Caenorhabditis elegans: one gene and its partner. The protein of the gene in region 2 purifies or fractionates together with the protein of the main gene of each other region. This does not show direct contact. Each region holds a gene or a part of one and is shown on either strand. Other genes may lie near its edges.

Region 1 (15,717 bases), on a different chromosome or scaffold from region 2:
AGCGCTTGTCGAGCACGTGCTCCTTCATCCCAATCAGCGACCACACTATTTCGCCGCTCAGTGCCGCATGCTGTTGGTCGAGGATATCTCCAGTTTGATTCTGGTTAATTTCTTGAGAATATTTTTCCTGAAAGAATTAAATTTAATCTCAGACTTCCTTCCTGGCCGAGCCGAAAGAGACGGGTCAAAATGTGGTTCGATTCGCGATCCAGGCAACGACTGAAATGCCATTCCATCTATTGTTTGCTATGCTCGAACAACTGGAGATGGAAAACGAAGGATTCCAGATGACAGACAGCTTTGTGGTGGCAACGTTGAACCGATCACAGGGCAGAGTACGAGAAACAGTTTTCTGTTTCATGCCAATAACTTTTTCAGACTACCACTCGTCACCTGCGAACCACAAACTGCCGGGAATACGGAAATCTCGAGCCAGGACTCGATTCACAAGGCCGACTGATGGCCTCGACTGCATCAATCACGTGTTCTATCCGAGGAAAGCGCCACGTGGAAACGAGGATCGTGTACAATAACAACTCGAACGCCAGGAATACTTCAGGGAGAAGTAGAGTGAGTTGAGCAGCAATAAAATCTCGATTTTCAATTTATGAAATTTTCAGTACATCGAATTGGAGCAAACAGTGAAGTGCAAGAACCGACGTGTGCTGATTGTCGAAGATCCAGTCGAAATCCACGAATTTGAGATCGAAAAGGACATGATCCCGCTGGGAAAGGGAATTGTGCCAGTCGAGGACCTGATCACGTTCCTCGAGACATTCAAACTGGATGAAGAGGACGAGTAACTCCAGACATATGTCCTATAATTTGTAATGTACATAATTCTGTATTATTGTATCAGTGGTTCTTGTTGAATATATCAACTAACTTTCCCCTTTATTTTATTTTCCTTTTTTGTTTTGGTCGTTTCCTGTATATAGATTCTCCGCTGCCCCAAACTATTTTGCTTATGTTTAACATGTATATTGCTTGAATTAACATTGCCAGAATATGAACTGGTTGATTTTGCAATCTTTTTAACGATGAGATGAATTATATATTACATTCAGTAGTTGTCTTTATAATATTTGGAATTTAAATTACTTTACTCCAAAAAACAACTTCTTTTTACTTTACTCCAAAAAACAACTTCTTCCGGTTACTCATATCCGTTTCTCCACACTCACCTTTGATCGTTTTCCAACAACTTTTCCTCCTCTCTAAATTTTGTTCGAGTTCTCACTCTCACCACGTGCGGGGCTCCAAATAACAGCTGCTGCCTCTGAAATGTCATCGCGAGGCTAAAGATTTCCATTTCTCACAAAATTTGCCGTTTCGGCATATAATCTGTGCTCTGTGTTGGCTGGCCGACGATGATTGAATTGGCTCATTGGCTCATTTATGCGTACTTGTGAGTTTTAAAAATGGTTTGCCGGTTTGCCAATTTGCCGGAAATTTGCCGGTTTTCCAATTTTTCGGAACTTTTCAATCCCGGCAATTTTCCGGAATTTTTCCGGTTTGCCAATTTGCCAAAGCTTTTCAATTCCTGCAGTTTGCCGGAATTTTGCCGTTTTGCCAATTTGCCAGAACTATTCAATTCCGGCAGTTTCCCGATTATCCGGAAATTCGCCGGTTTGCCAATTTCCCGGAACTTTTAAATTCCGGCAATTTGCCGATTTGCTTAAAAATTGCCTGTTTGCCAATTTGACGGAGCTTTTCAATCCCGACAAATTTCCGATTTGCCGGAAATTTGCCGGAGTTTTTCAAGTTGCCGATTTGCCAGAATTTTGAAAATTTTCCGGAGCTTTTCAATTCCTGCAATTTGCCAATTTGCCGAAAATTTGCCGGTTTCCCAATTTGCCGGAACGTTTCAATTCCGGCAATTTCCCGATTTTCCGGAAATTTGCCGGTTTGCCAATTTGCCGGAACTCTTTGTTTCCGGCAATTTGACGGAACTTTTCAATTCCGGCAATTTGCCGGAGTTTTTCAAGTTGCCGATTTGCCAGAATTTTGAAAATTTTCCGGAGCTTTTCAATTCCTGCAATTTGCCAATTTGCCGAAAATTTGCCGGTTTCCCAATTTGCCGGAACGTTTCAATTCCGGCAATTTCCCGATTTTCCGGAAATTTGCCGGTTTGCCAATTTGCCGGAACTCTTTGTTTCCGGCAATTTGACGGAACTTTTCAATTCCGGCAATTTGCCGGAGTTTTTCAAGTTGCCGATTTGCCAGAATTTTGAAAATTTTCCGGAGCTTTTCAATTCCTGCAATTTGCCAATTTGCCGAAAATTTGCCGGTTTCCCAATTTGCCGGAACGTTTCAATTCCGGCAATTTCCCGATTTTCCGGAAATTTGCCGGTTTGCCAATTTGCCGGAACTCTTTGTTTCCGGCAATTTGACGGAACTTTTCAATTCCGGCAATTTGCCGGAGTTTTTCAAGTTGCCGATTTGCCAGAATTTTGAAAATTTTCCGGAGCTTTTCAATTCCTGCAATTTGCCAATTTGCCGAAAATTTGCCGGTTTCCCAATTTGCCGGAACGTTTCAATTCCGGCAATTTCCCGATTTTCCGGAAATTTGCCGGTTTGCCAATTTGCCGGAACTCTTTGTTTCCGGCAATTTGACGGAACTTTTCAATTCCGGCAATTTGCCGTAAATTTGCCGGTTTGCCAATTTCTCGGAAGTTTTCAATTCCGGCAATGTGCCGTAAATTTGCCGGTTTGCCAATTTGTCGGAACTTTCCAATTCCGGCAGTTTGCCGATTCGCCGGAACTTTTTAATTCCGGCAATTTACCGGAAATTTGCCGGTTTGCCGGTGTTCCGATTTGCCGGAACTTTTCAATTCCGGCAATTTTCCGGAAGTTTCCCGGATTTGCCAATTTGCCGGAAATTTTCCGGTTTCCCAATTTGCCGGAACGTTTCAATTCCGGCAATTTACCGGTTTGCCAATTTGCCAAAACTTTTCAATCCCGACAAATTTTCGATTTGCCGGAAATTTGCCGGAGTTTTTCAAGTTGCCGATTTACCGGAACTTTTCATTTTCGGCAATTTTCCGATTTTCCAGAACTTTTCTATTTTGGCAATTTGCCAATTTGGCGGAACTTTTAAATTCCGGCAATTTACCGATTTGCCGGAAAAATCGTTGCCCGTCAACCCTGATTTCAGCCTTCAAAGTAACAAAAAGTAGATTTTCCAATTTCCTAGATTACACAAAATACACGAACCGGGAAACTGAAAGTTCATATCTTTTTCTACTACTTTCTGATAGATTTTCTTGTCAATGACACACGAAGGTGTCTCTTCTTCCTTTTTGAAAAGTGATTTTTTCTTATTTGGACGCGAGAGTAACCACTATATAACATATAAATTCGACTTATCACTTCCAATACTCTGTTAGAAAATCGTACAATGCAGCAGCATCAGCAGCAGTACTATTTATTCCTCGCCACTTTAATGTGAGTTCCAGTTCCTTTTATCTGTATCAGCAGCTGATAATAACTACATCACAGACTGTCGGAGGAGTCTCTTACGTGACAGTACTGTGTGTATATTTGTTTGCGAGATGAAAAAAAACAATGATAAATATTTATAATTGTGACTTGCAAAAAGTCACGTATTGCATTCATTTCACATTTTATATTCGGATGATGACAATTATGTGCGCTTTTCGTATTTTTTTGTTCTTTTGGGGGGAATCATCCCATGAAATGTTGTAGTGATGGTTCACTGCTATCAATAGAATGATAAAGTCCTCTGATCTTTGTCAACGGAAATCCGGGTAGAACAGGTATTTGAGAACATAAAGTAGACGATACCTAGGGGTTTTTTGAAAAAAAAAATTAGAAAATCAAAGACTATCTCGGAAACGAGAGGTAATTTCAGAATGATAAGATGACCGTGAAAAACCTCTACCACGGCCATGTAAATTTCCATGTGTCGATTTACGCAGCTCGCTTTTTTTTTCAATTGGCAATATTTCCAACATAAATTGACTTATTTTGTAATTTTTACCATTAAATAATATAAATTTTTTAATATGTAGGAAAAAAATTGACGAAAATAGTTCAAAATCGAGCATTTCCGCGAAAAAGTCTATACTAAACATAAAATTCAATCGTAACCTCGAGAAGTACACGAACGGCGTAAATCGACACACGGCCAGGCTGTAGGCATATAGGCTTAAAAGTTCGCGAAGTTCCAGCTCTAGAAAATTAGTTTTTAAAAATATATTGCGGATACTTTAAATCTTTAATATGACGGAAAAATTTATAAATTTGCAATTTCGCCAAGCTGTCCCATTACGGTTTGATCTACAAAAAATGCGGGACTTTTTTCACCAAAAAAATGTGACATCAGCACGTTCTTAACCATGCGAAATCAGTTGAGAACTCTGCGTCTCTTCTCCCGCATTTTTTATAGATCTAAATTCTAATTTCTTTCAATTTTTCCCCATTTCTATGGATCTAGATTAGGTACAAATATTTCACCGTCTCCCAGAAATCAGACATCATATTCATATCTCCAATGATTTCCGAATTCCATCGCATATTTCGGGGACCAGTTGCCGCCTCAAAACATGCCGCTTCTGAAACCAAACACGGAAACGTCGTCGTCAGCAATTCCTCCATCTATGTGATGCAATCTGTCGAGTATAGAAGCATCAAAAAGTACACGTGAACAACGCGTGCCCTCCCCGGGGGCGCCTCCACAATTTCAGCACTACCTCGCGCCGGCAATTTGTGTGACGCCTCTGCGTCTCGACGCGGGGAAACAACCCCCCGCTTTATTCGGCCCGCCTCGAAGATGGTTTTTCGTTGGAAAAAGCACGTACACCACCATAATGCTACCGTAATTGGTATATAAATCGGGGAGTGCGCACAAGTTTTCGTGGAACTCTTGTTGAATCGTTCCATTGATCTACTTGGTCCCTTAAGGCCATAGGGTCTTTGGGTTTCCAAGACTTTCCGATTTTCCCATCAAGACCTTGAAAACTGGAACAATAAAAATCTATCTGATAATCTTCATCTCTGACTTCTGCTTCTTCTTCTTCCTCTTCCTCCTCGTCGTCCTCCTTCAAAGACAGTATACCAGTTCGTTTAGAACTCTCCCTTTCAACATTACAAACCTCACCAATTCTTTGTCGTCGTAGTGACACCCCCTTGCAAAATGATGTGGCATTCGACGTCATCGACCAGAAATCACCTTTCTCCGTCCGTCCGCATTGTACCGCACGTTGCCGCCTCCTCCTCGTGTATCTCTTTCATTCATTAAGTCGTCCGTGCATGTGTTTATATTATAGACAGAGTGGGGTGGACACAGAATAAGAGTACATGTCACCTTTCCATTCACTCATTCTCAAAACGTTAGTCTTTTTGGACTTTAAGACTCAATTTTTTTGGACTTGGCTGCTCGAACATTTAAATGTTCAGACATCAGACTTTGTTCCTTTAAAAATTGTTATTTGTCAGCATGCATTCTGAGTCTTTCTATCTTTTTTCTCCTTTTCAATATAAAAATATATTGAAAAAGTTTGTTTGATCAGAGGGATGGGGGGGAAGCCTCAAGTATCATCAAAGAGCAGCCCGTTTTTTGAAAATCATTTGTGAACTATTGACGTCAAGAAGAATATTTTTTCTCTTCTTTTTTTCGACTTTTTTAGTTCTGCATCAACAACTTCTAGACGCTAGAAAATGTCATATAAAAGTACTGAAAATCTCTTACATAGTAATAATTTTCTCTCAGTATTTCCTTGTTTCGATTTACGCAGCTCGTGTACTCCTCGAGAAGAAGTGTGTTTTTTAATACATTTTTTCCTATTTTGCAAATTAACCATTTGTTTATTTAAAAAAAATCTAAAAATAGTCTAAAATTTTGTATTTTGAGCAACCAAAAAACTGTAAAATCGCCTGCTGAAAAAAAATAAATACAAACTTTTCCTCGGGGAGTACACAGAGTACGATTGTAAACAAATATTCAAAAAAATCGAATTTTTTCGTTTTTTTTTGGGTCGAAACTAACAAAACACGTGGTGTCAGAATGTCCCATAACGGTATGATCTACTAAAAATGCGGCAATTTTTCGCCCAGAGAAGTGTGACGTCAGAACGCACTTAACCGTGCGAAACTTGTTGACAACTCTGTGTCTCAATTCCCGCATTTATGGTAGATCATATTGTTATGGGACAGTCTGACGCCATATGGCAAAAAAATTCAAAAAATTTTTTTTGAAAATACGATTGTTTTTTTGCTGTTTTTTTTTTGTGGGAAATAACACAAACCCAATATTTGCCAAATACCAACAAAAAACCGTCCCCTCTTCGCGGGTTACTGTAGTTTTTTTGGAAACTACAGTACTCCCAGGATGTAAAAACTTTCTAATCTCTAACTTTCTATCACTTCAAAAAGAACTTTGAACATTTTTCTGTGGCATGCCTCCCAAAATTTGCCCATTATCAATTAATCTTATCAATTCACTAGCCATTGTTGTGTTTTGAACACACTTTTTTTTTTCATTTTTTGCCATCATTTTCACCTCCAACTAGTTTTATTAAATTTCAATGGGGACTTTTGTCTTGGACAGCCTAGCTTAAGAGAAGACAATTATATTCTTTTTCTGTCCAGGAAATCCCTTGCTTTTTTAAATGATTTTTGAAGATCATCACGTGATCAGAGAACACTAGAAGGCACGCCTACTTATCACCCGATTTCATTCAAAATGCGTACTTTGTTCGTATCTGTCTCTTCTGTTTTCTTATACTGTATCAGACCCACCATCATTCGCCTTATCAATTAGTTCTTTGACACCCTTTTTCAGTCCCTACCACGTCATCGAACCATTCAGTCTTTTTTTTATTTCCTGAATAGTAGAGGCTATAAATATACAATGATATACAATCATTTGTACATTTTATTTCCATTTCTACTAGTTTCTGAAGAATGGCCGTGTAAAATCTCTAACACGGCCATGTGTCGATTTACGGGGCTCGTGTACTCCTCGAGGAGGATGCCAGTTTTCAGCTAACTTTCGCGAATTCTTCCGGGATTTGACGTTCTAGATCCAATTTGTATATTATTTAAAGTCTAAATTTCTCCTTATTCCTATTTATAGTGGTTTATAGGAAAATCGGACGATTTCCATTTGAAAACTCCGTAAATATTACCCATATGCAAATTTTTTCGCTTCGCCGAAACTACGATGACTGGTCTCGACACGGCAATGTTTTTTTTTTCTGAATGCGAAAAAATGTGTGTCTTTAAAGAGTACTGTAGTTTCATCGAATTTTTTTTGTATTTTCTTTTTTTGAAAAAAATAATATTTATGTACATCAAAAAAAAAGAGAAAAATCGATATAATATTGTTAATGTTGAATACAAAAATAAATAGTCAGCGAAAATTATACAAAATCAGGGATTTTATCCAAAAACTGGTGCAATCCTCCTCGAGGAATACACAGGCCTCGTAAATCGACACATGGCTGTGTTCTTCCATTTTCATAGAATTCTCTATTCCCATAATGTATTTCAATTGAATTTCAGAATGATCCGTGTCGCTTTACCAACAACAGCGTCGGCAATCCCTCGATCCATATCCACATCACCGGGTGAAACAATCTCAAAAAATCATGAAGAAGAAGTGAAAAGAGTATGGAGAAAAGCTGATGCTGTATGCTTTGACGTTGATTCTACAGTATGCCAGGACGAGGGAATCGATGAGCTTGCTGCCTACCTGGGTGTGGGTGAAGCCGTCGCCAATGTGACACGGACGGCGATGAACGGCAACGCCCGCTTCAGGTATAGGTAATAAATGAAAGCACGCGGGTTGTTTTTTTTGAAGTGTGAAGAAGAAATGTTTTTGAATCATAGATTTTGTGTTGTTTGATGTGTGGAAATGATTTTTGAAGGTTAGAAATTGGACTGTGTAATATAGACGGTTTTCGGTTCAAAATTTGGCTTTTTCAGCTGGAAAAAAAAAATTTTTCGAGAAATTTAAAAATTAAAATTTTTCCCGAAAATACACAAACAGAAAAAATCAATTTGGCTTTTCGAAAAAAAAAATTTAATTTTTTTTTCTAAATTTTTTTTCAGAAAAAAAAGAAATTAAAAGAAAAATTGGATATTTTCCGGACTAAAATATTTAAAAAAAAGCGACAAAGAAGATAATTTTCGAAAAATTGTTGATTTCCTTTTTTTTATTTATTTTTTTTTTAGCAAAATGGGTCTCAATGTGAGAAAATGTTTTTCAGAAATAAACAGAATTTAAAAATTCCGGAGCAATTCTATTAAATCTTTGCGCATTTTTTTTCGGTTTTTTTTTAAAATTTTATCAGAAAAACGTAGAAAATTGAAAATTTTTCTTCAAAAAATAGGAAAAAATTTTTTGGCCAAATTCGAATTCTTATCAGCTTTTGCTCATTCTGAAAGAAAATTATTTGGAAAATTTCTTGAATTGTGAAAAAAAATGTTAAGTTAATTTTCGAGAAATCGAATTTTTTTTTGATTTTTCGAGGAAATGTTTTTAAAATTATACAATTTTAAAAAATAATAAGGAAAAATACAACATTTTCCGAAAAAATATAAAAAAAATTAAAATTTTAAGATTTTCCGAAAAATCGAAAAAATGTCAAAATCAAAATTTCACTTTTCCAGCTGGAAAAAAATTAAAAAAATTTTTTTTTGGAAAAATTGAAGAATTACAATTTTTACCGAAAATACAAAAGCAGAAAATTTGGCTTTTCGAAGCATAAAACATAATTTTTTAAAATCTAATTTTGTTCAAATTGATAAGAAAAAACATAAAAATGTCTTCTAAAAATAGGAACAATAGCCAAAATTTGAAGCTAATTTTTGAAAAATTGGAAATTTTAGATTTTTAGATTTTTTTTTGCTAAAAAAACCGAAAAACCGACATCCTTGACCATAATCCACAGCCAACCTGATTTTTCATTTATTTTTTTCAAATTTCCTTTTTAACATGCATGACACAAACTTTTCTTCACATTCCCCCCGTGGCTTTCTGACCGAAGTGTTGTTGTTGTTGTTTTGTGTGAATTTTAGTGAAAGTTGAGTTTTCAATTCTCTCCTTTCTCTAATTTTTCCCAATAAACAACACACACACACACTTCAAATTAAAAATCTCATTTCTAAATTTTCATAATATTTCAGAGATGCTCTTGCCGCCCGTCTTCAGGTAATGAAACCAAATCACGAGCAACTTGAACAATTTGTGAATATTTCCAAACCAAAGCTCACTGTTGGAATTCGAGAACTTGTGAGCCGTCTTCATGCTCGTGGAACTCACGTATATCTTGTCTCTGGTGGATTTAGACGACTTATTCTTCCAGTTGCTGAACTTCTTGGAATTGAGAAATCTCGAATTTATGCAAACGAGATTCTTTTCGATAAATTCGGAAAATATCACGGATTTGATACTTCTGAATTGACGAGTGACTCGGGAAGCAAAGAGGTTAATTGGATTAAATTTGCGTTAGAGCGCGATTGCATTATCAATGTTTTTTTTTGAGATTTTTCAGTTGAAAATTTTGAAAATGCTTTTTTTCGAGTTTTTTCCCAAAAGTTTTTATTATACTTTTCTTGAAAAAGACAAAATAATATACAATTTTCTAATTTATACACTTCCTACACACAAAAAAATTTTTTTTACGAAAAACAATTATTTTTCGTTTTCAAAAAAAAAGTCACCTGCGAAATTGGCATTTTTACTTTTTCATTGACAAAAAAAAATGTTTAGTAGTTGCGAGGCTTTTTCCAAAAGAGTTTCTGAAAAATAAACTGAAAAAATACGAAAAAATGTGTAAAAATTGATATTATACACTTTTTAGTCAAAAAATTAGCGAAAATTGTCATCGGATGTGAATGTTTTTTAGAGGAAAAATCTTTTTTTCTTGTAAAAAAATTGCGAAAAACGAAAAATTTTTAATTTTTTACTTTTTGGCCTTTTTTCCGCTTTTTATAACGATTTTTTTTGTAATTTTTGGCAAAAACAAAATTTGCAATTTTTTGAAAAATCGTTTTTAGAACGAAAAAATTGAAATTCTCATGAGAATTATGTGTAAAGCTCAAAATTTATTATGACTTTTCAAATTAAAAAAAAATAAATTTTAGCTAAAATCTTCAATTACCAACCTTTTTGGTCCAGTAAATTAGCTTTTTATTTAAATAATCTCGTATTTTGCATATGCTAGTTTTTTCGATTTATTCACTTTTAAAGCCAAAATTTAGTCATTTTTACATGCCTATTAGCTGAAAAAGTGCCTAAAAAGGCCAAAAAATTCACCAAAAAATTTCAAATACTACTCTTTTTTTGTTAAATTTCAAAATTTAAATAAAATAAAATTTCATTTTTTTCGATTTTTGAAGCCAAAAACTATTTTTGCTTTAAAAATCGAAAAAAATTCCAATAAATCAAATTTTGAAATTTAAAAAAAAATACTAGGATTTTTTCGATTTTTGAAGCCAAAAAATCAAAAAAAATTCTATTTATAAGTTTTTCTTCCAAATTTTAATCAAAATAATTTCAGACTGGCAAACCGGCTGTGATAGCTCTTCTGAAAAAGATGTACAACTACAAAACAGTTGTGATGGTTGGTGACGGAGCAACCGATGTTGAAGCTTCACCCCCAGCTGATGCATTCATTGGATTCGGTGGAAATGTCATTAGAGAAGGTGTAAAGGCTCGTGCCAAATGGTACGTCACCGATTTCGATGTTCTTCGGAAAGATCTCGATCATGATGAGTCTGATATTGACGACGAGTAGATAATTCATGTATCTGTACATATCGTTTTTCTTTTTTTTTCATATATTTTCCACACGTTCTCAGTTGGCTTTACTGTGCGGTTTTGAGCATTTTGAGCATCATTTTCTAATCACCTACTAGCGTATTTCTATTTTTTTTTTCTCTCACTGTGAATTTTTCCCTTCATGTACCAGCAAACTTTTGTCTTGTTGTGCCATAAATCTTCTACCACATGATATAGAGTTCCGAAAAATATTCATAAACAAAAATAACGTATGTGTGTGTTTAGATTTAGAAGATCACAAGATGAGAAAAATTTAAAATTGCGAGAAAATGATGACGATGAATTAGGATGCACGAATCGGTGGAGACACGAGAATGACAGAATCACCACGAACGAAAAGCATTGGAACAACACGTTTTGTTTGTTTGTAGATCTCTTCGAATGTGTCTTCGTCGACTTCACGGGTGGTGATTGTCTCTTCAACCTGAAAATATTTTTTTTTAATTTGATGATTATTGAACTACGATCAGAATTTTGTGAAAACAGGTTCTAAATAATGACCTCATAATTAGTTAAATGCGATATTTTGCGCAATAAATACGGTCTTAAAGCGAACTTAAAGCGTACCGAAATCTGAAAAATATATTTAAACGACTCCAAATTTTCTCCTGATTCCGAATATCTAATTGGAAAATTTCAAAAAAAAGTCCCTGATTTTATATTTCAACTTAAAATCGCGATTTTCATTTGCGTCCCCATGAGATTTTTCAAACGGCGAATTTTCGCGCCAGCCATGTGTCGATTTATGAGATTTGTGTAGATTTACGAGATTTTCAATCTTTATCGGATGTAGATTTCCTTTTTTCAACGAGTTTCCTTCATTTTTGTCGGTTTTTTCTAAAGTTTTTTTTTGAAAATGTGTTTTTTTAGGTCAATTAAACATTATATTATTAAAAAACTAACAACATTTTTTGGCGAAAACCGACGAAAATGATGAAAACTCGTTGAAAAACCGAAATCAGCATCTGATAAAGATTGAAAATCTCGTAAATATACCCAAATCTCGTAAATCGACACATGGCGTCTCTGGCGCAAAAATTCGGCGTTTCAAAAATCTCATGGGTGTACAAGCGATTTCAAGCTGAAATAATAAATCAGAGAACATTTTTTTGAATTTTTTCATTTCGATATTCGGAATCAGGGAAAAATTTGAAGTCACTTAAAAATATTTCCACAGATTTCGGTACCTTTTTCTTGAAGTTTTTCTTGGAAAACAAGGTTTTTTTCGAATTAAAACTGTATTGTTTTTCTATTTTATTTATATAGTTTCAATCTATTTTCTAGGGGATTACGGATAATCTGGAGTTTTTTTTTGGAAAAATTGTTTTTTTTCCTATTTTTCGGCTTTAAAATTGAAAATTTAAAGCTTTCTCCAAAGAATTATGGCCTTTTTTGTAGTTTTTTTTTTTGGAAAAAGTTGTGTTTTTTTAAGCTAAACTGTATTTTTTTCGATTTTCTTCTTTTTAAAATTTCAAAGAATTTTCTCAAATCCATTTCGAGGAGAGGTAGAACCTATAATTAGAAATTGTCTAGGATTTCGCATTTTTCTTTGACTAAGATACTTTCACAAAGTTTCAGTTTTTAAACAGTTTTACAATTTTTTAAAACTTTTCAACAACGACAAACCTCCGATAAAACCATGTTCAAATGTTGATCGAAAGCTCTGAGACGACCGCGCAACTGAAAAATCGAGATTTGTAACACAAAAAAAATCCCAAAATAAAATAATTTCCAACCTCTCTGTCGTTTCTCATTTTGACATAAACTCTCTCATCCAAACTGAGACGGAGCAAATCGAGTGGCTCTTCGACTGTAGCAGACAGTGTCACTTCTTTCTTTTCGGTGGCCATCTGGAAAAAAATTTGAAAAACTAAAAGTTTGAAAATAATAAAAAGAAAGAAAATAGTGAATTGAGAAATCAACATTTGAATCATCAGAAAATTAATTTTTCGAGCATAATACACGGACACACTTTTTCATTCCAGCAGTATAATTTCGCGTAAAAAATTCAAATTACAGAAAAATGAAAAATGAAAAATCAATAAATTATTTTTGACACATTCCGGAAAGCTCAATTCACTTTCCAGCCTCCACAGCAGCAGCAGCAACATCAGGAAGCACATCGAGCCGTTCAGGGCTCACATAGTTCATTTCAGTGACTGGATCCACGAAACCGACTGGTCCTTGCTCACATTCACCACACACCAGATACTGAAAATTGGGATTTTAAAGTTTTAGATTTCAAAAAAAGTTGAAACCCACTCGTTTGCCTTCAGAAGATCTTGTAAATCCAACATTTTCAAAAGCGAACATATCCTTGACTCCGAAAAATCCACGGATCGGCTCTGTCTGAGTATGATCGATTCCTTTCTTTTGACGTGGCAATGGAAGATCACGTTCTTCGTCGAGATATTCAGTAGTCATATTCTTCAGAATAACAACAGTTTGACAGATTTTACAAATGTATGTGCTCTCATTTGTCTCCACTTTCACTACGCTGCTTCTGCTCTCCGTCGGGCTTTTTGAGGGCTGCTGAAATAATTAATCAATTAAAAAATCATTTTTCTTGCTTAAAACATATTAATATCTTCTTGAAAATAATTCACCATCAAGGCTGAAGGCTGCGAGTTCGTCGAGGAGCTCATCTTTCTTCTCAATCTGCTTGTAGAGCGCGGCGATTTTCCGTCTTTCCTTGTACTCTTCGACGCCGATGTCGGGAATCGATTTCAGAGCGTCTTTGAAGCTTGCGATGTCGGCCTCGACGTTTCGAAGACGAACAGTAAGCTCAGAACCGCTTCCTTTCTCCACGCTGAAATAATTAACCTCGTTTCTTTTTAATAACTACAAATTCCGAACTTACGAGTTCACAAGATGGAATAAATCTGCGTATAATTTGTTCAAATAGCTTTCAGCACTTGGCTTGATCACTTCTTTGCTCATGAACAAACTCTGAAAATAGTCGAATACTGGAAAATTGATTTGAAAATAATTCCAATAAAGAATTAAGTTGAAATTGGCTTGCGTTCGATGGAGCGCGTTTGCTTCTTGCAAGCCTAGCACACAAGATTTGCAACAACGCCGCACACTTGTTGCAGAGTACGTTGCAGAGTATTTTTCCTTTTTTTCTGCTTTATGTCTCGATTTAAGATGATTTCCCCGATATTTTTGTTCTAATTTTTACTAAATTGTATAGAATTATCATAATTTTCTCTATTTTCCCATTTTAGAAAATGCTCAAATGCTCACACGCCATTAGGAGAATATCACCGCGAAATCTTTGCACGGCGAGTACCTCCGCGGAAATCGCCAATGTAAGTAAAACTTGCGTTGTTATCAATTGGCAAACAATTAATTTCTGAAATTTAGGCTGTTCCATTAATTTCCAACAATCGTTCATATGTGTTTGATACTCCACAAGTATCAGTTCCAACGTTTGAGTTGAGTCGTCGAGTTGGAAATCTCTTCGCGCAGTCCTTCTACACATTATGTTACGAGAAAAGCTTCACTGTTGAGAGCTTGGTGCACGGAGCCAATAAAGGCATTCACAGTCTTTCTCATTTTCTAGCTGATGAAAAATGGGATCAAATGGAGAATTTGGCGGTGAAAGATGCTGTTGAGAATATGCGAGAAGCCAGAAAAGGGCTTTCGAAGCAATTAGAAAATGCTCTTCGTTTCTCTCCAGACGACATTTTGCTCTCATTTCTCCATTCGACTGTCATCTCCGGTCGGGATGTTCTCAAGTGTAAGTGTCAAGGAAATATTCACTACTGAACAGGAAATTGCAGTGAGCAGCAGCCGAAATATCGGAATTTATTTCACCGTCGTCTCTTTCGTTCGATTGTCAGAGAAAGTTCCGGAGAACGCAAGTATTGGAGAGCTCAGCGGAAAGTACAAGAGTGATGTGCTCGTTTGCAATGCAACGTACGAGTTCTTCATCAAATACATTAATTTTTGTGGTTTTCCGGCATTTTTCGACATTTTCCAACGAGCAAAACATCGAAAGAAGCCGCATGCGAGAGAAATGGATGTCCCTTTAAGATTTGTGTGGATTTACGAGCTTGTGCACTCTGCGTAAATTTATTTTCCTGAAGGATTTCACAGTTTTTCGCTAAAATTGGCGATTGTACGCCTTTTTCCTGCATATAAGTGCGCATTTTAAATCAAAATTCCAATATCTATTTTATAGGGTAATAAAAATGTAGTTTGGGCAACTTTATAAGTGAAATGCTGAAAAAACCAACTGAAAACGGTAGAATCCAAGGCTTTCGAGTTAAAATTGTATTTTTCGCTTTTTTGCGAGAAAAAAATTAGCGAAAAATACGAAACAGCGACATTTTTTTACCAAAAAATCTTTAAAACTGTCAAATTTTACTTTTTTTTTCAAAAAATCACACTGAAACATTTAAAACATTTTGTTTTTCTAGTTTTTGCCGGAAAAGAAATATTATTTCGAATTCAGCCCTGTTGTTCACGCCTAGTACACGAGCTCGTAAATCTACACAACATTTAAAGAGGCACTCATTCTTATAAACGCATAAAAAATAGATTTCAACGGAAAATTCTTCATAAAATAGTCAGTCTGGCAATTTTAAATGTGAACGAATAAGTTCAGAATTGTACACCCGTGCTGAAAATATTCGAGTTTTTGGTTTAAAAAAATGTATTTTTCGCTTTTTTGCTAGAAAAGTTGCGCAAAGTATGAAAAAGCTAACTTTTTAACTGAAAAAACTATTAAAATATTAAATTTTACATCTTTTTTTTTAAATTACACAGAAACATTTTTTTTAAATTGTTTTTCTGGTTTATTTTTTTGGAAAAGTCTTTTCGAATTCAGCTCTGTTGTCCTCGCATAGTACACGAGCTCGTAAATCTACACAATTTTTAAAGGGACATAGCTCGTTTCTTTT
Region 2 (15,128 bases):
GAAATATGTTATTTTTCTTGTCAAAAATTCGCCCTTTTAGTTCACACATCACACTCGTTTTCGGTTTCCTTTGTGCCACGACGTAAGCGTTCGTCCATATTTGTCTACAGTCTCTTATTGTTGACCAAAAGCCCAACATGTGACACTTTTCTGTGGTCTTTCACGTGTCTTTATCGGTCTAATATAGTGGGTTGAAGCTTAATTTGATGAATCATTCCGATCGTGAATTATATTTTGAGGGAACTGTAGAGCTTAGAGAGCTTAGAAGTATTTCGACGTGTAACATCTACAATTTCGTTCACTGGTGCAAAGCCGATATACGAGGATCTGTATCCGTTTTTAATCTATGAAGGCCCTACACGTCTTTTTTCTGCCAGGTGAATGAGTTTTAACTTAGTCTGCAAGTTTCTGGCCAAGTCCAAATCAGAGTTCTGGTCTTAGCTTTCAAATCACTACAACTTCCTGTGCACAGTAACTCGCCTACGATTTTTTTCCCAAATATGGTAGTCTCGACAACGACCCATTTTTCAGACGAAAAATTGCGTTCGTCTTTGAGTAGGACTGTAGTTCTATATCTGAAAATGGGACCGGGTACCGTATTTTCGGGGCGAAAATTGCAGAACTTTACATCTGAGCAAAAAAAACTGCCGTTTCCCCGTCCAGAGCGAAGGATCTGGACAAAAGAGGCACTGTTACCGACTTTTACATTTTTCGTGGTGATAATATGATTTAAGACAGCTCGATACGTTAAAATTTGAACTTTTTGGGAAGATAAGCTTTAGTAGTGATATATGTCCATCTTCGCCGATCACATCCATTCATCACGTGGACTCCGGGTGTCTGTACCACGAAGCATAATTGAATGAGTCACGCGACCTCAGATTTGAATATAGACTCCGCCCACCTTTTGACGAGAGACTACACTGCTGTGAAGAGGCGAAAAGAATGACATCATAGAACACCCTTTCGATTGTATATGCCGTCTCCCTCTCCTCGGGTCAACACATCTGCGCGTATTCAGCCCGATTGCTCGTACATTCGTCGAAGAGCATGGTAAATCGAGAGACGCAGACGGCGTAGAAACGAGAGAGACGCGGAAAGAAGCGCGCAGAATGTTCGAGAAACGCGGAGAAGAAAACTGGTGGTCGAGGCCCCCCGCGCGGGAGAATATATAAGTGTGCCAGGAAGCTATTCCCAACTAGATTTCTAGATCCTATCCATCTGAAAATTTGAAAAAATGGTTCTCCGAACTGTTATTCTGCCTACTGCAACCTACACTGCACCATCACAATATTGCCCATCTACCGTACTCTCCAATCTCACCCTATCATGTCCTTATCAGGACCAGGAAGCAGATGCGAGTCTTGAGATTTCCGATTTCGCTGAAGTCCTCCCGAAATTTGAGTCTGCCGAGCAGGATTGGAACTCATTCGGGTATCTGCTCAATGAGCAGCCTGGCACGTCGTCTGATAAGACAACGACGCCCATCAAAAAGATTACTGTATTCCAAAAGCCTGTTGAGCCTATTGGTAAGGGACCAAGACGGCGAAGACGGTGTGCGGATAGAGAGATTTCTGAATTAGGTAAATTTTTGGAAAAATTTGCCCTATTAGACGACTCTAAGAGGCGGAAGATTCTAGATAACCTCGAAAAAATATTTAGACAAATTTTGTTCCAACTTTTCCGTATTTGTGGCGACCACTGTTTGTTGAACATATCGCGTCGTTTATTATGTGTTTTTTCGTTACTTTATGCATTCTTTTGGTAGATGAGTGCAAAAAAAAACAGCAAAAGCTTAAAACTACAGCACTCTAATGACACACAAAAACATTTTTATCTAACAAAAATTTGTCGTGTCGAGACCGTGGTTTTAGAGGGCAAAAATCGCAAAATTTGCCGTTTGGATAATATTTTTGCACCCATCTACCGAAAATGTACCTTTTTTGACTAAGAAAGGTATGATAATCATAAAACGGTGAAAATTTACTCTGCGATACGGAGAAGTTTGAGATTTTAGCTAAAACTTGACTGTTTTATTCTTATCAATTTTAACTTTTTAATTTTCAGCGGCCAAACCAAAAGCTGAGGTGAAAAAGGAAGTCATAAATCCGGCTGATATCACTCTGGGCGGAGATACTTATGATTATGTCAAGGAACAGAAGGTAAGATTTCGAAAAAAGTGATTTTCCCAGTGAGACCTGAAATTTTTCCAGCCAACGGAATCAATCGCCACCAACGTTTCTCGTCGTCGCCGAACTTCTGCGAATCTCTCAAAATCTGAAGATGATCGGGACAAGCCGGAAAGCCAATCCACGGCTCCAAAGTCAAAAGAGCGTCGTACTTCGGAGCCGCCAGCGTCCCACGTGGCGTTCCACACTCCAGGATCCGCGACACCACACGACATAAACCTATCCATTGAGCATTGCACCTGTCAGAAGATTTTCGACGCGTCGAAGCTGTATATTCAGTGCGAGCTGTGCGCTCGTTGGTACCATGGCGACTGTGTTGGAGTCGCCGAGCAAACTATTTTGGGTTTGGAGCACTGGAGCTGTGAGGAATGTATTGAGGAGCAGGAGAGAGTCAAGGATCAGCCGGCGTTGTACTGTGTCTGTCAGAAGCCATATGATGATACAAAGTGAGTTTTGTTGGCATAGAAATAAGAGAATAATTCAGGTAAATTTGCAGATTCTACGTTGGGTGTGACAGCTGTCAAGGGTGGTTTCACCCGGAATGCGTTGGGACAACACGTGCCGAAGCCGAGCAGGCCGCCGATTACAACTGCCCGGCATGCACTCGAGAGGCTGAAGGCTACGAGTCGGAAGCGTCAGATGTGTCGGGTTCGAGTCGTGTTAGTGTGCAATTAACGTGAGTTCACACATTGTTAGAATTTTCAGTTTTTCGGAAAAATTTCAGACGCGCCGACTATACTCATGTCTTTGAGCTCCTCGAGCTTCTCCTCGAACACCGTATGAGCACACCATTCAGGAACCCAGTAGATTTGAATGAGTTCCCAGATTATGAGAAATTCATCAAGAAGCCTATGGGTTAGTATTTCCGAAACGTCGTCAAACTTTGCATTTGAAATTTTTCAGATCTCTCAACAATAACAAAAAAGGTTGAGCGCACCGAATACCTGTATCTATCGCAATTTGTGAACGACGTGAATCAAATGTTCGAAAATGCAAAAACCTACAATCCCAAGGGCAATGCTGTATTCAAGTGCGCCGAAACGATGCAGGAAGTGTTCGACAAAAAGTTGATAGACGTTCGCGAGCAAATGACCGCCCGTCAACAGATGCTTCTTCTAGCTACTGCTCAACAACAGGACCCGATGAGTTCTATCAGAAAGCGTGTCCAGTCGGAAAGCCAGCGAACTGTCGACTCGTTGGATATCGATTCGGATCAGCTGTTGCCACTGGATGCGAATCTTATGAGACTTTATGATTTTTGAGATTTTTCCTCTTGTTTTTTTATGTTTTTCGTAGTCACACAGTGACTTTTCACTTGTTACGTTGACAATGTTTTGTAAGAATAAAATTTCTTTTCGATTTTCAATGAAAAATGTTTAAAGCACAGGTTCACGGCTAAATAAAAACGTTCCGCTTTATGTGAAAATTCATGACAAATAATCGAATGGAGCAATTTTTGACTCAAACTATAATTTTTAATTACAACACTCTTTAAAGGCGCACACCCGTTTATTTAACAAAAAAAAAATTGTGTCGAGACCGGGTGCCGTATTTTTGGTGCAAAAATCGCATAATTTTGCATAATTTTTTATAATTTTTAGGAAAGAACAAAAAGCGGCAAAATCGACGAAAAATGTATTGAAAGCGTTTGAATTTGCAGTTTTGCCGCCTTGGTTTCCGTTGGAATTGGAGCGCGATTGCACTTTGGTTTCAAAAATTGGTCACGAAACTACATTTTTTAATGCGATAAGGTGCACACCTTTAAAGAGTACTGTACTCTGAAACATTAATTGCTGCTAAATTTCCCCGATTTTAGCTTAGTTTTTCAATAAAAACTCAAATCTAACAATAAAATGCATAATTTTTACCAAATCGTGAGAAAAACTATAGAAAATCGATTAAGTTTATCAGAAAACTAAATGTTTTAACTACAGTACTCTCTCAAGGCGCACACCCGTTCGTACTTAACAAAAGTAATTCGTGTCGAGACCGGGTACTGTATGTTTGGTGGAAAAATCGGATAATTTTGTGTCTTAAAATTATATTAAAACAAAAAAAATTAATAAAAAAGTTTGAACTTAAATTTTTTATTCCCTGTCCTCCCCCCCCCCCCCCCCCGCCTATCAATCTGACGTGTGATCTTGTTCAAAAGTTTATTTATATATATTTTCGGACCATTCGTATAAAGTTGGATGAAATCTTTTGAAGATTGAAACTTCTGGTCATTTCAATTTTTATATCACTTCGTTACAAAATGGATTCCGATCTGAAAAAAGTTCAAAAGAATAGGTAAGCCGGAGCGGTCTTGGAACGAAGAAACAACTTCTATTTTCAGTGATCAGAAACAAGTTTCAAAAAGCAAAACAGCAACTGCGCCAACTGAGCCGTTTAACAGTAAGGCTACTGAGTTGCCGTCAATTCTCAAGCCGAAGTTCCCGTCGGACAAGGTCCTGAAGAAGAAAAAATCCGGTGACATGTTTGATCTTGTAGGACAGATCGTCATCGATATCGTTGATGATAATCCTGACGATGATGACCGACAGGATGAGGCTACAACGGTGGATACTGTACAAGAAGGAATCGGAGCAACGGTCGATGTAACTCTTGTCGTGAGTTTTTGAGGAGCAGAGAGACATTGTTTTAAATGAAAAACAGTGAGCGCTTTTAAGGAGCACAAGAGTCTTTATTGCATTCAAGTTTTTTTTTAGTAATTGGAGAACATGAATCGAATATGAAATAACCGGGTAAACTAAAATTTCAGGAAGACGTCGCTGAAAAAGCACATGAGCCAGCTTCAACTCCAAATGTTGCTGACCGATTGCAAAAACCAGTTGCAAAAGATGATAATAGCGCTCCGGTAGAAGAAGCAAATAGGAAGAAGAAAGAAGGCAAAGACCCCAAGAATTCAGAAGAAGCAAAGAAGAACAGTAAGAAGGGGAAAAACGGCACAGCAAGACGATCCGCGCTGAAAGGAGTCACTATTCCACCGGTGAGCTATCTAGAAAAGGCCAAAAATTTCTGCACGAAGTGGGATTCGAACCCACGCACCCATACGAGTACCAGAAGACCCAGTAAACCATCCGTGCGGTGAGTAACGTGCAGCGAGCGAGAGTATATGAAAAGAATGACAGAGAGTGAGAGAGCTTGCGTATTCAAGAGGCTCCATAGAAAATTGACGAAAAAACACTGGGCTTTTATAAAAATTTAAATTTCCAGGTAGCAGCTTCTTTACCTTGTCCTCCACCCCCACCTCCTTTGAGTGAGCGGAAGAAGAATGTAGGCCCAAAGCCATGCGTTGGTCCAGCACAGAAAAATTTGTCGAGCCAACGGAAGCATAGCTCAAAACGAAACCGAAAAGGGCTCTTGAGAAATGTGGCTAAACTATGGGGCCGAAAGTCGGATGGCATCGCCAATCCGTGAGTTATTCAAACCAGACTGCATCCCTACCGTGAAACATTTTCAGAACTAAAGCAATGCTGTCGAAAAAGTACGTGCCACCGGATTATGGAGTGAACCCTGTCGATTTCATGCCGGACCTTGAATGTTATTTTAGCAAAAACGACATTACTGTTCGTGATAAAAACAAGTGTAGCAAAGGAGAGGTTTTTGTTGAAAAGCTCCCATTTTGGTTGGCACGACTGCCGAGTGACGATGACATTCCGAAGGCTCAAATTCAGGCTCATCGGCCGCTGAAGCAAGCATTTGAAGGAAATCCGTCATTGCTCCTTCCGAAATGCCCAAGAACACTGCCGTTTTGTGAACCGGACTCTGACACACTGGAAAAGTTTAAGCAAGTTGATAAACAGATGGGAACCGATGTACCTGAACAGGCATCGAAAAGATTGTGTACAAACACTTTTTATGGAACCCTAATGTTTGAAAAAGACAAGAGTGCGTCTGAAGAGGTGAAAAAGAAGGTAGACTTTATTGACTAGCAATATATTTTTTGCGAATTTTAAAAGTTTTCAGAAAGAGGAACCAAAGTTGAAGTCTCTCGGAGAAGAGAGTGTGAAAGTGAACTTTAGTTTCCCTCCGAAACCAATCTTGTTTATTTACTCCAGGTAAGCTTGAGACTAAGCCGAAGCCTTATGATTTTTTGCAGAAAAAATCGACCAAGACCACCGGTGAGAGAGGACGACAAAAGCCACAGCTGCAAAAAGTGCCACCCCAAAAACTTGAAACCGGAGCGAACGTTCAAAAAGTGTGAATGGGTGAAAATGAAGAAGGGCGACGAGAAAAAGACTGTGACCAACTCGGCCAACTCGAAATCTGACACGAAATCGGCTTCTTTTTCAGCAGAAGGACGGAAATAGTACTTGTAGCTTAAAATGAATTATTGAAATTGAGGGGAAACAATTTTTCGGAGAAAAACAGGAACTATTATTTAAATTAAAATATTTTCGAGAAACACAGAAACATTTTGTGTAGTACAGTAGTTAATTGAAGGGACCTGCGCGATGTTTTATGCTGGGTCTCGCAACGCGCACACATATAAAATGGCTGTTACCGTAGTTGTTTAAATTTATTTGCTCCGGAATTCGTTTAAAAAAAATTCATTTTTGATCAGTTTATTTCAATAAATATCTCAATTTTTACAGAAAAAAAATGAGTGCACGTGGCCTGAAAGTTGAGATGTACTACAAATTAGCGGAAAAAAATGAAGCAGAGGTAATTTTCGCGTAAATATGTTTTTTTTATTTGAGTTTTTCAGACTAGCGATGTCTCTATACTTATCGACGGACATAAAAGAAAGTTCGCAGTCATCTGCAATGGAATCGGAAGAGAGATGGTGGATTTACACTATGATTCCAAGAAGTTTCCGAGAATTTTGTAAGCCGAACAATTATTTTGTGTTAAATAAATTTTAAAAAAATCAATTTTCAGTTCCCGAGAACGGCATCTCTACGTGATGTTCAGTGAAAGTACCAGCGATGGATTTCGATTGACATTCGGCGCAACAGAACGCGAACAATTTCTGAGAATCATGCATTCATTGGGATGCCTGCTGGACACCGCAATCGTGAAATTCTCCCAACAATCGAGTTCATCCCAACCTCCACCAATGCGTCGAGATTCTACAGCAGTGTTCAACAACAGCTACAATCAATATACTTCATTTCAACAAGCCTCTCAGCCGAGAGTTTTTTCAACCATTAAATTGGAACTTTCTGGAGATTCGTGCAATTCGGCGTTCCAGCCGTCCCAGCCGACTGGATTTCCAGACAACCAATTATTGACGATTAAAAAGTCCTCGTCGAACCAAATAGTAGGAAAGTACCATACTGTTTTCTGTAAAACTATTTTTCAGTCTCTAAGCGTTGAAGTAGCCGACAAATGCATTCAAACTGAGGATTTGGTCGATTTGCTGGCTGACGATGAGTATTGCATGCGAAAAGCACTGAGGAAAATGATCGAAAACCCAAGTTTTATCAAAGCCGTCGCTGCTGCAGAAAATACACTGCAGTATATTCCACAAGCGGAACAAGAGGGATTGGAAGATGTGAGAATATATTTGTCTAAAAACAATGGAAAGAATGTAATTTTCCAGGTCACCGAACCACCAATAAACGATATATTCTTTGATCGTTTTCATCAACCACAGCTTGAGCAACACGATTCTGTTCCAGAAGATTGATTATTTGGAAAAATTCTAAAAATTTAAACTTGTATCATTTGAATCTGTAAATTTTTTTTCAAGTATATTTAAGAAGCATTTTATTAGAGCCTTCGATTATTAGGAAAATCAGACGGAAAATGAAAATACCGGCTCTTCGCGGACCAGTTTAGCTCGGTCTTTAGCCGACAAGCGGGGCGTATCCTTGAGCTCTGTCCAGTGAAGAACAATTTCCTGATCGGATGGACACGAAACTCGAAACATTTCAGTCGCGTAACCGGCTTTCAGATAGTCGAGTACATGCGATAAATCGGCTGGAATTTCATAGTTTTTCAGCATTTTTGCGGCAACACGGATCGAGTGCAATCTCGTCAGGACCAGGCAATCAATATGCGTGACGTCATCGGAGATCAGAAATTTGGTTTCTTGTTCGGAGAGATACTTGTCGAGACGAAGGAGTTCCGTGTTGAAAGCCTGAAAAAATTTTCTAATTTTTCTTCTTTTCCTCAAACTGATTTTGTATTTCAGATTGAATAAAGAGATAAGCATTCAAGACTATTTCGAGAACGAGCGCCAGAGACATTGGAGCGCGCCGTGTCATGTCGATTTACGAGATTATTCAGTTTTACGACGAGTTTTTTGAAAATTTTTTTTTTTGTGTCAATTGCCCTCCGAAAATCGACACAAAACGACGCGCGTTTAAGTCTCTTGGATGCATAAATTCACGATTTCAAGCTAATCATATTTAGATATTCGGAATCAGGAAGTCTTTTTTAAAACATTAGCCCTTTACCGTATCCCTATGCTCGACATCCTTCACGAATCTGGCGAATTGTCGGAACAAATCACACGTGGCATTCTCCGCTTCTTCATCATCACCTCTCTCGGGCTTCAAGTACTCCAAAAAGTCCAAAATATCGTCCTCCGTCTCGAATGTCTGCGTCTCTCCGCTCTCTTCAGCACTAATTCCAGGCATACGACGGAGTCCAGTGTTTTTGAACTCTTGACTTGTCTTGTTCACATTTGTGGTTTTCACATCGAATTTCATCGTTGGATCGTGTTTTGCGTGGTACAGACAACGCATGAATAGGTGGTGAGCTGAAAATCGAATTACAATCGCGCTCCAACGGTTCGTTTGGTTTTGGCGGCAAACTTGAAAATTCAAACATTTTAAAGCATTTTTATCGTTTTTGTTTCGTTTTCTTTGGTTTTTGATTAAAAAACCACGGGAAAACAGAAAAAAAACTGGCGAAGTCTGCGAAAATATCTGAAAACGTTTGATACTTACCATACGGATCACCGCACGGGTGTACATTATTAGAGCCCGCTGGCAGCCACAGCGAAAAAGTGGGCATTCTCTATTGACTGAAATGTGTGAAGCTATTTGAAGAAAGTTAAGGAATATTGGAAAACTAATTTGCTTGAGGATGACGTGGAAAGTGGAACAAGTGGGAGGATATTGGAGGGTCGCGTGAAAAAATGAGAACATTAAATTTTTTTAATTGAATTTTAAATTTTTTGTAGAATTTTGAATTCTCTTTTAATTTTCTTCGTGTAACTTGGGAAAATCTTGGAAAAAGTACGAAGAGGATAGAGGACGCAGAAGAAATTTTGGGAAAAAGACTAAGTTTTCTATAATTGCCGGTTATTTGATTTTTTTTTCAGATTTTTTGATTAAAAAAATTCGAAATAATTTCGTTTTCGAATTTTCAAAAGGAAATTGAGAAAAAAGGAATGTTCAGAAAAGTATGAAAAATCAATAAAACATTTAAAAATGCTTTAAAAATTGTCGTGTCGGGGCATCGTAACGCATTTTAGGCATGTGCCTTTAAAGAGTACTGTAATTTCAAATTTCCGTTGCTGCGAAATTTTCATGAATTTTATTTATTTATTTATTTATTTTCTCTCAAGGAGATTTGGAGGAAAATTAAAGAGAAAAAGAAAATGATAAGCATACGAATAATCAATTGATACATGCAAGCATTCAGAGCATTCAGATTTCTCATAGTTTTTCGAAAAAAAAATTAATTACAAAACTAAGATGAAATGAAATGAGAAAAACTATGAAAAATTCATGAAAATTCAGCAGAAACGAAGATTTGAAATTACAGTATTCTTTAAAGGCGCACGCCCCTTTTGCATTAAACACTAATTTATGGCAAATACTGTTTTACTACTTGATCTTTTACTACGTATCTCTTTTACTACGACATTTCTTTTACTACGGTATCTCTTTTACTACGAATTCCGCATTTAGATCTTTTACTACAATTGGCTCTTTTACTACGTGTTCTCTTTTACTACGGAAAATACTTTTTTACTACCTCATCTTTTACTACGTGGATGTTTTACTACGTTTTACTCTTTTGCTACGGACGTATTTTTACTACGTGGAGGGATACTGTTGGGTTACTGTAGTGGTATTGTATAAGTAACAGTTTTCAGATTATGTATTATAGTTTTTTTTAAATTTCTAGAAATTTATTCACTATGAAAAACAATAAATTGCTTATTCTATACAAGATTTGATCAATCCAGAAAAAAACATTTTTCAAGTTTTTGATCAAAAGTTTTTGCAAATTTAAAGTTTTTGATCAAAATTTCAGTTGAAGTCAAAATTTCAAACATCTGGCGTATAACTGACCGAACCCGCAAGTTTTTTATTACATTTCAAAAACTTATAAATCAACCGGTAGGGAACTAATTTGTTGGTAACGCGAAAAAAGTTAATTACTCCCACAGTATCACTACAGTAATCCAACAGGATCCCTCCAATAACTCCATCTCAGTATCCAAAAAATAAAAAACTGAAATTTACTAGAACTACTTGTGCACAAACTACAATTGTGACCTATATATTTTTTTAAAATATTCATAGATTTGTTTATATCTAGACTATCCTATAAAAATTAATTTTTAATTCGTAGTAAAAGATACGAAACAAAATATAATCCCTGCCATTGTAGTAAAAATTTTTCTGTTACTTATACAATACCACTACAGTAACCCAACAGTATCCCTCCACGTAGTAAAAATACGTCCGTAGCAAAAGAGTAAAACGTAGTAAAACATCCACGTAGTAAAAGATGAGGTAGTAAAAAAGTATTTTCCGTAGTAAAAGAGAACACGTAGTAAAAGAGCCAATTGTAGTAAAAGATCTAAATGCGGAATTCGTAGTAAAAGAGATTCCGTAGTAAAAGGAATGTCGTAGTAAAAGAGATACGTAGTAAAAGATCAAGTAGTAAAACAGTATTTGCCCTAATTTATCATGTCGAGACCACATAACAAGATTTTAACGCAAAAATCTCAAGAACAACGAATCTATCATGAAAAAAAAGAAAATTTGTTTTCTAAAAATAAAAGTATTGGTAGTTTTTCTCCATTGACACAAAAAACCAAGAAATGAAATTATGTGGGTTTAGAGTCAAAAATGGAACAGAAAAGCGTCTAAAAAAGGGTGTGATAAGTGGTCAGTGATAAGCGGAAAAAGTGTGTTTGAACTAAAATGCCAAACAATATAATTTCGGAGTGCGTGGGAACACAAAATGAAAATTTCTGCACCACAACTCAATGCTTATACATATTTGATGATTTTCCACCAAAAAATGATTGAATTTTCAAAAAATTAAAGTATGTTTGTGGCAAGTAAATAAATATTCATGGAATTCTTTAGTCTATAATTCGCGCTTTTGGGTGGAATGAAATAATGATTGATAGGTTTGGAAATGGGAAAAAGGGAACTCGGAGTTATTGTTCGATGCTTTATGTTCGATGCTTTACTCTCCAGGAATCATATGAATGTGATAAACAAGTGATCAAACAACCGGAGAGAGGGAGAATGGCATAGAGAGAAAAAGGTTTTAATAACTGAGAGAAACCTGAGGATTGGCAATAGCGGAGTGATAAAATCTAACGATGCCTTCTTTACAATTCCAGAAGATAGTTTGATGACTTCGAATAAAATGTTGTGAAGGTGTGGAATGCAGTTTTGTTGGGTGTTAATGAAAAGGATAGTTATGCATTAAAACATTCCTACCATGTTAAAAATCGGCAGTTCCGGATGAAAGTTAATATATTTTTTTAGTCACAGATTCAAAGGTGGAGTAGCGCCAGTGGCGAAATTGTCAAAAACCACTCCTATGGTGCCAAAATGAGCAAATAGAATACATCTGTTTCAAAAATGGCAGTTACTCAATTTCGGCAATTTGCCGTAACTGAGAATTTCCGGCATATCTGCAAACCGGCAATTTGAACATTTTTGGCAAATTGTGCTTTTTCACATTATTTCTGAAAGTTTCACAATTTCAATTTTAATCGGAAAATTTGACGCACCCTTTGTATGTTTCTACATCTATTTTGAAAAGCAAGAAAATTGAATGAAAATATTAAAGAAAACTTGAAAAAAGTTTCAAAAGGCAGTTGTAAGTGTTTCCGTCTTATAGAAAGTCCCCTCAAATTGATATCAGCAATTAGCCGAAAATGAACATTCCTAGCAAATCGGCAAAGCGGCAATTTGACGTTTTGCCGAATTTGCCGAACGGCGATTGCCGCCCATGCATATTTTATTTGTTTTGTTTTTTTTTTTTATAAAAAAGGTTTTAATGTGATATTTGGTCATTAAAATTAACCGCTGGCACTACTCCACCTTAAGCGTATTTTCGGTTTTTCTGTGCAAAAAATAAGACAGGCCAACTGAAAAAAGATTTTCTGGGAAAGGTTTTCGGGATAAAGTTTTCGAAAGTTTGTCAAAAGTGTGATGTTTTTACAGCAAACTTAAATATCGTTAATCTTTTGCGAAAGTTTAATTAAAAAATTTAAATAAAGTTGTAATTGAAAATGGTCAAAACATTTGTAATTTTTCTAAAAAAAACAAATTGTTCCTTGGTTCATAAATTATTATAAGATTATTTTACCAAAAGTACACGTGTTTATATACAAAAACCAATTTCTCAACAAAAAATTAATAATGAGTGTAATCGATACTTGTGCTTATTCTTTCGTGAGGGAGCAGCATACAAAGTGTGGGCACTTTGCTCCTCATTTTTTTCGGCGAGAGTTTTTCTTTTTCATCTCTTCCAATTTCAATGGTCCAGGTTCTCTCAAGGGGTGATGGAAAAAGAAGAGGCGAGAATTTAAAGGGGAGGCTTAGAGAGGTAGAGATGAAATTATGAAATTTTTTTTTTTGAAGTTTCAATTGAAAAATTATAATTTACTATGAAATTTGTTACAAAAAATGTGGTATTTAAAGGTTTTCAAATTACGAAATATTCCAGTGTGTGAAATGTGTTTTTCCTCGATTGAAACAGTAGAGAGTGTGTAATTTCAGCCAATTGATGGGCGTTGCTCTATATCCCTCTTTTTTAAACTCTTTTTTCACTGCATACTCAAATTTTTTTCTTAGACAAACATGTTCAAAAGTTTTATTAGTTCGCGTCAATGAATACCGTTAATTTGTGACGTCCATAGGGAAATGGCCTTAATGAACAATGTAGGCCCTCCATGGTAGGCCGGTGCGGTGTCAGGGCCGGACACATGCTTGAAACTTACCCGCCTCACGCCGGCCTTACGTTAATTTACAATTTTCTACTTTTCTCATTTATTAATTTGATGAAAATCGAATTAATAAATTGAAAAAAAAGTTCACGTATATCTTTGCATAAGGCGCGGATTGAGGCAAGAGGCAGGAGGTCGCCTTAAGATCAGGCAGGCAGTTTTACCGCCTAGATGGAAGTACCTAACAAGGATATTGTTTGATGTTCAGTGAATACCTGGTATTTTGAACCAACAAGTTTCATTCACAAGTCGCAAAATTCAAAAAATCAAATAATGATAGTGGAAAGACAAGAAATACCTGACGGGAAAACAAATGGGGGAACCGTATAAGAATCGAGATAGAATTTTCTGAAGTAATCGCTTATTCATAATCAGAAATTGTCGAATAAATATGATTGTCAGTCTCCAAGCAAACATGGAGAACTTGTGAGAGTTTTTGAGGCAAACGTTGTTGGCTGAACTGCTCATTTGAGGATAACAGTTGGGAAATGCGAATTCCGTTTCCTCGAACCCAGGACAGAAGTTCGGAGAGCGCTAGGGAAGATCCTTTGCACGTGGACACATCCTGGAAAATTTACTAATATATTATGTTAAGCATAAAATTGCTCACATTGGCCATGTTCACCAACTCCGTTCTCAACTCATCCATTCCTAGTGGAGGACTATTTTTGACTCGCTTGAATAAGTCCACTGAAAGGGGCCGGAGCCTCGCCACGTCTTTTGCAAAAAGAAGTCGAGATGACGGTGAATGGGCTCCGAGAACAGGTTCAGAGAATGAGAAGCAATCCATCTGAATTTATTTGTCAGAAAATAATATAACAGAAAAGTGATTCGCTCACCATAGTTTGCGCTACTGTACTCAAGTTTGCATCCATGGAAATAGAATGAGGAACATCGAACACCAACTGCGGATTTCTAACAAAATTGGCCCAAACTCTGAGAACGTAGCCATTAGCCTTCCATTGCTGACAAATATTTTCAGAAACTCCGTTCACTGAAGCTTCACGATCCAAAATGTCAAAGAAGAATTTTAAAATTGGCGGGTAGCTTGAATCGTGCATGTATAGTACGGATTCTAGGAAGTCTTCCACATAAGTTTCTACTGTTCCCTTTGAAGTGAGCAACCTTGTTAGGTACACTTCTGGAATAGATTTGGGTAGCAAATTGCTGTCGTTTGAAGATTTCTTCTTGAAAGTCATAGTTCCAGATGACGGATTTGTTAGGTGATAGTATTTTGAAGATGAATAAATTGGAGAGCATCGATCTAACGATGACCAGGAAGATTGTCCAGAATCTGCGAGAGAATCTGAAATTTTAAGGGTTATATTCAAATTTTGTTTCTTCAATTAACTCACTTCTATAGCTTTCCGCTGTATAAACCGCTGGAGACATTTCCAGCGTACAGCCATCACTGATACCGTAATCTGCCAAAGTGAACAACTTTACTGGTAGCTTTTTCTGCGATAACGTCTCAATTGGCAAAACATCGGTCAGTTTCACATCTCCCCGTTTGGGACATTTATATTCTGAAAAAAAACTGATTGAAGACACATATGGGATTATTTATGACCCACTCAATTCGAACTGCGTTATTCTCGGTCGCTGTGAATATGGTGTTTCACGATAGACAGCTGAAGCAACTTTTTGTTTGACTTGACAAATTGCGTCGCATGCATGAACTTCAAGATCTATTGATTCATCGCATTTTTCAAATGGAATCACACGAATTTTCTGAAAATTAACCAAAAATAGCATATCAATTAGACTTGCTT

Evidence for each region.
Region 1: the proteins of exl-1 (region 2) and lsm-3 fractionate together in Caenorhabditis elegans (co-fractionation; one large-scale study listed by BioGRID). This does not show direct contact.

What each region holds. Positions count from the first base shown.
Region 1 is NC_003282.8:13,384,412-13,400,128, reverse strand, and holds lsm-3 (U6 snRNA-associated Sm-like protein LSm3), read right to left. Parts: upstream 12,661-15,717; coding exon 12,547-12,660; intron 12,491-12,546; coding exon 12,437-12,490; intron 11,235-12,436; coding exon 11,094-11,234; 3' UTR 10,986-11,093; downstream 1-10,985. Other genes in the region: memi-2 (MEiosis-to-MItosis transition associated), read left to right, coding at 1-103, 153-335, 379-570, 621-803; Y62E10A.13 (Phosphoserine phosphatase), read left to right, coding at 7,463-7,788, 9,154-9,454, 10,530-10,766; mdt-9 (Guanine nucleotide exchange factor MSS4), read right to left, coding at 12,887-13,021, 13,073-13,342, 13,417-13,455; Y62E10A.23 (Mediator complex subunit 9), read right to left, coding at 13,284-13,342, 13,417-13,619, 13,671-13,750; Y62E10A.20 (Tim44-like domain-containing protein), read left to right, coding at 14,041-14,121, 14,177-14,552, 14,596-14,731.
Region 2 is NC_003280.10:14,404,308-14,419,435, forward strand, and holds exl-1 (Chloride intracellular channel exl-1), read right to left. Parts: upstream 9,169-15,128; 5' UTR 9,159-9,168; coding exon 9,092-9,158; intron 8,902-9,091; coding exon 8,597-8,901; intron 8,278-8,596; coding exon 7,933-8,277; 3' UTR 7,895-7,932; downstream 1-7,894. Other genes in the region: nurf-1 (DDT domain-containing protein), read left to right, coding at 2,068-2,162, 2,214-2,635, 2,686-2,865, 2,914-3,044, 3,093-3,451; F26H11.4 (ULP_PROTEASE domain-containing protein), read left to right, coding at 4,444-4,478, 4,525-4,798, 4,951-5,178, 5,406-5,605, 5,653-6,106, 6,159-6,250, 6,292-6,502; dsb-2 (Double-Strand Break factor), read left to right, coding at 6,795-6,857, 6,901-7,019, 7,074-7,455, 7,498-7,689, 7,738-7,824; plx-2 (Plexin-2), read right to left, coding at 13,718-13,921, 13,967-14,146, 14,196-14,662, 14,712-14,882, 14,931-15,087. UniProt on the Caenorhabditis elegans protein: Probable chloride channel.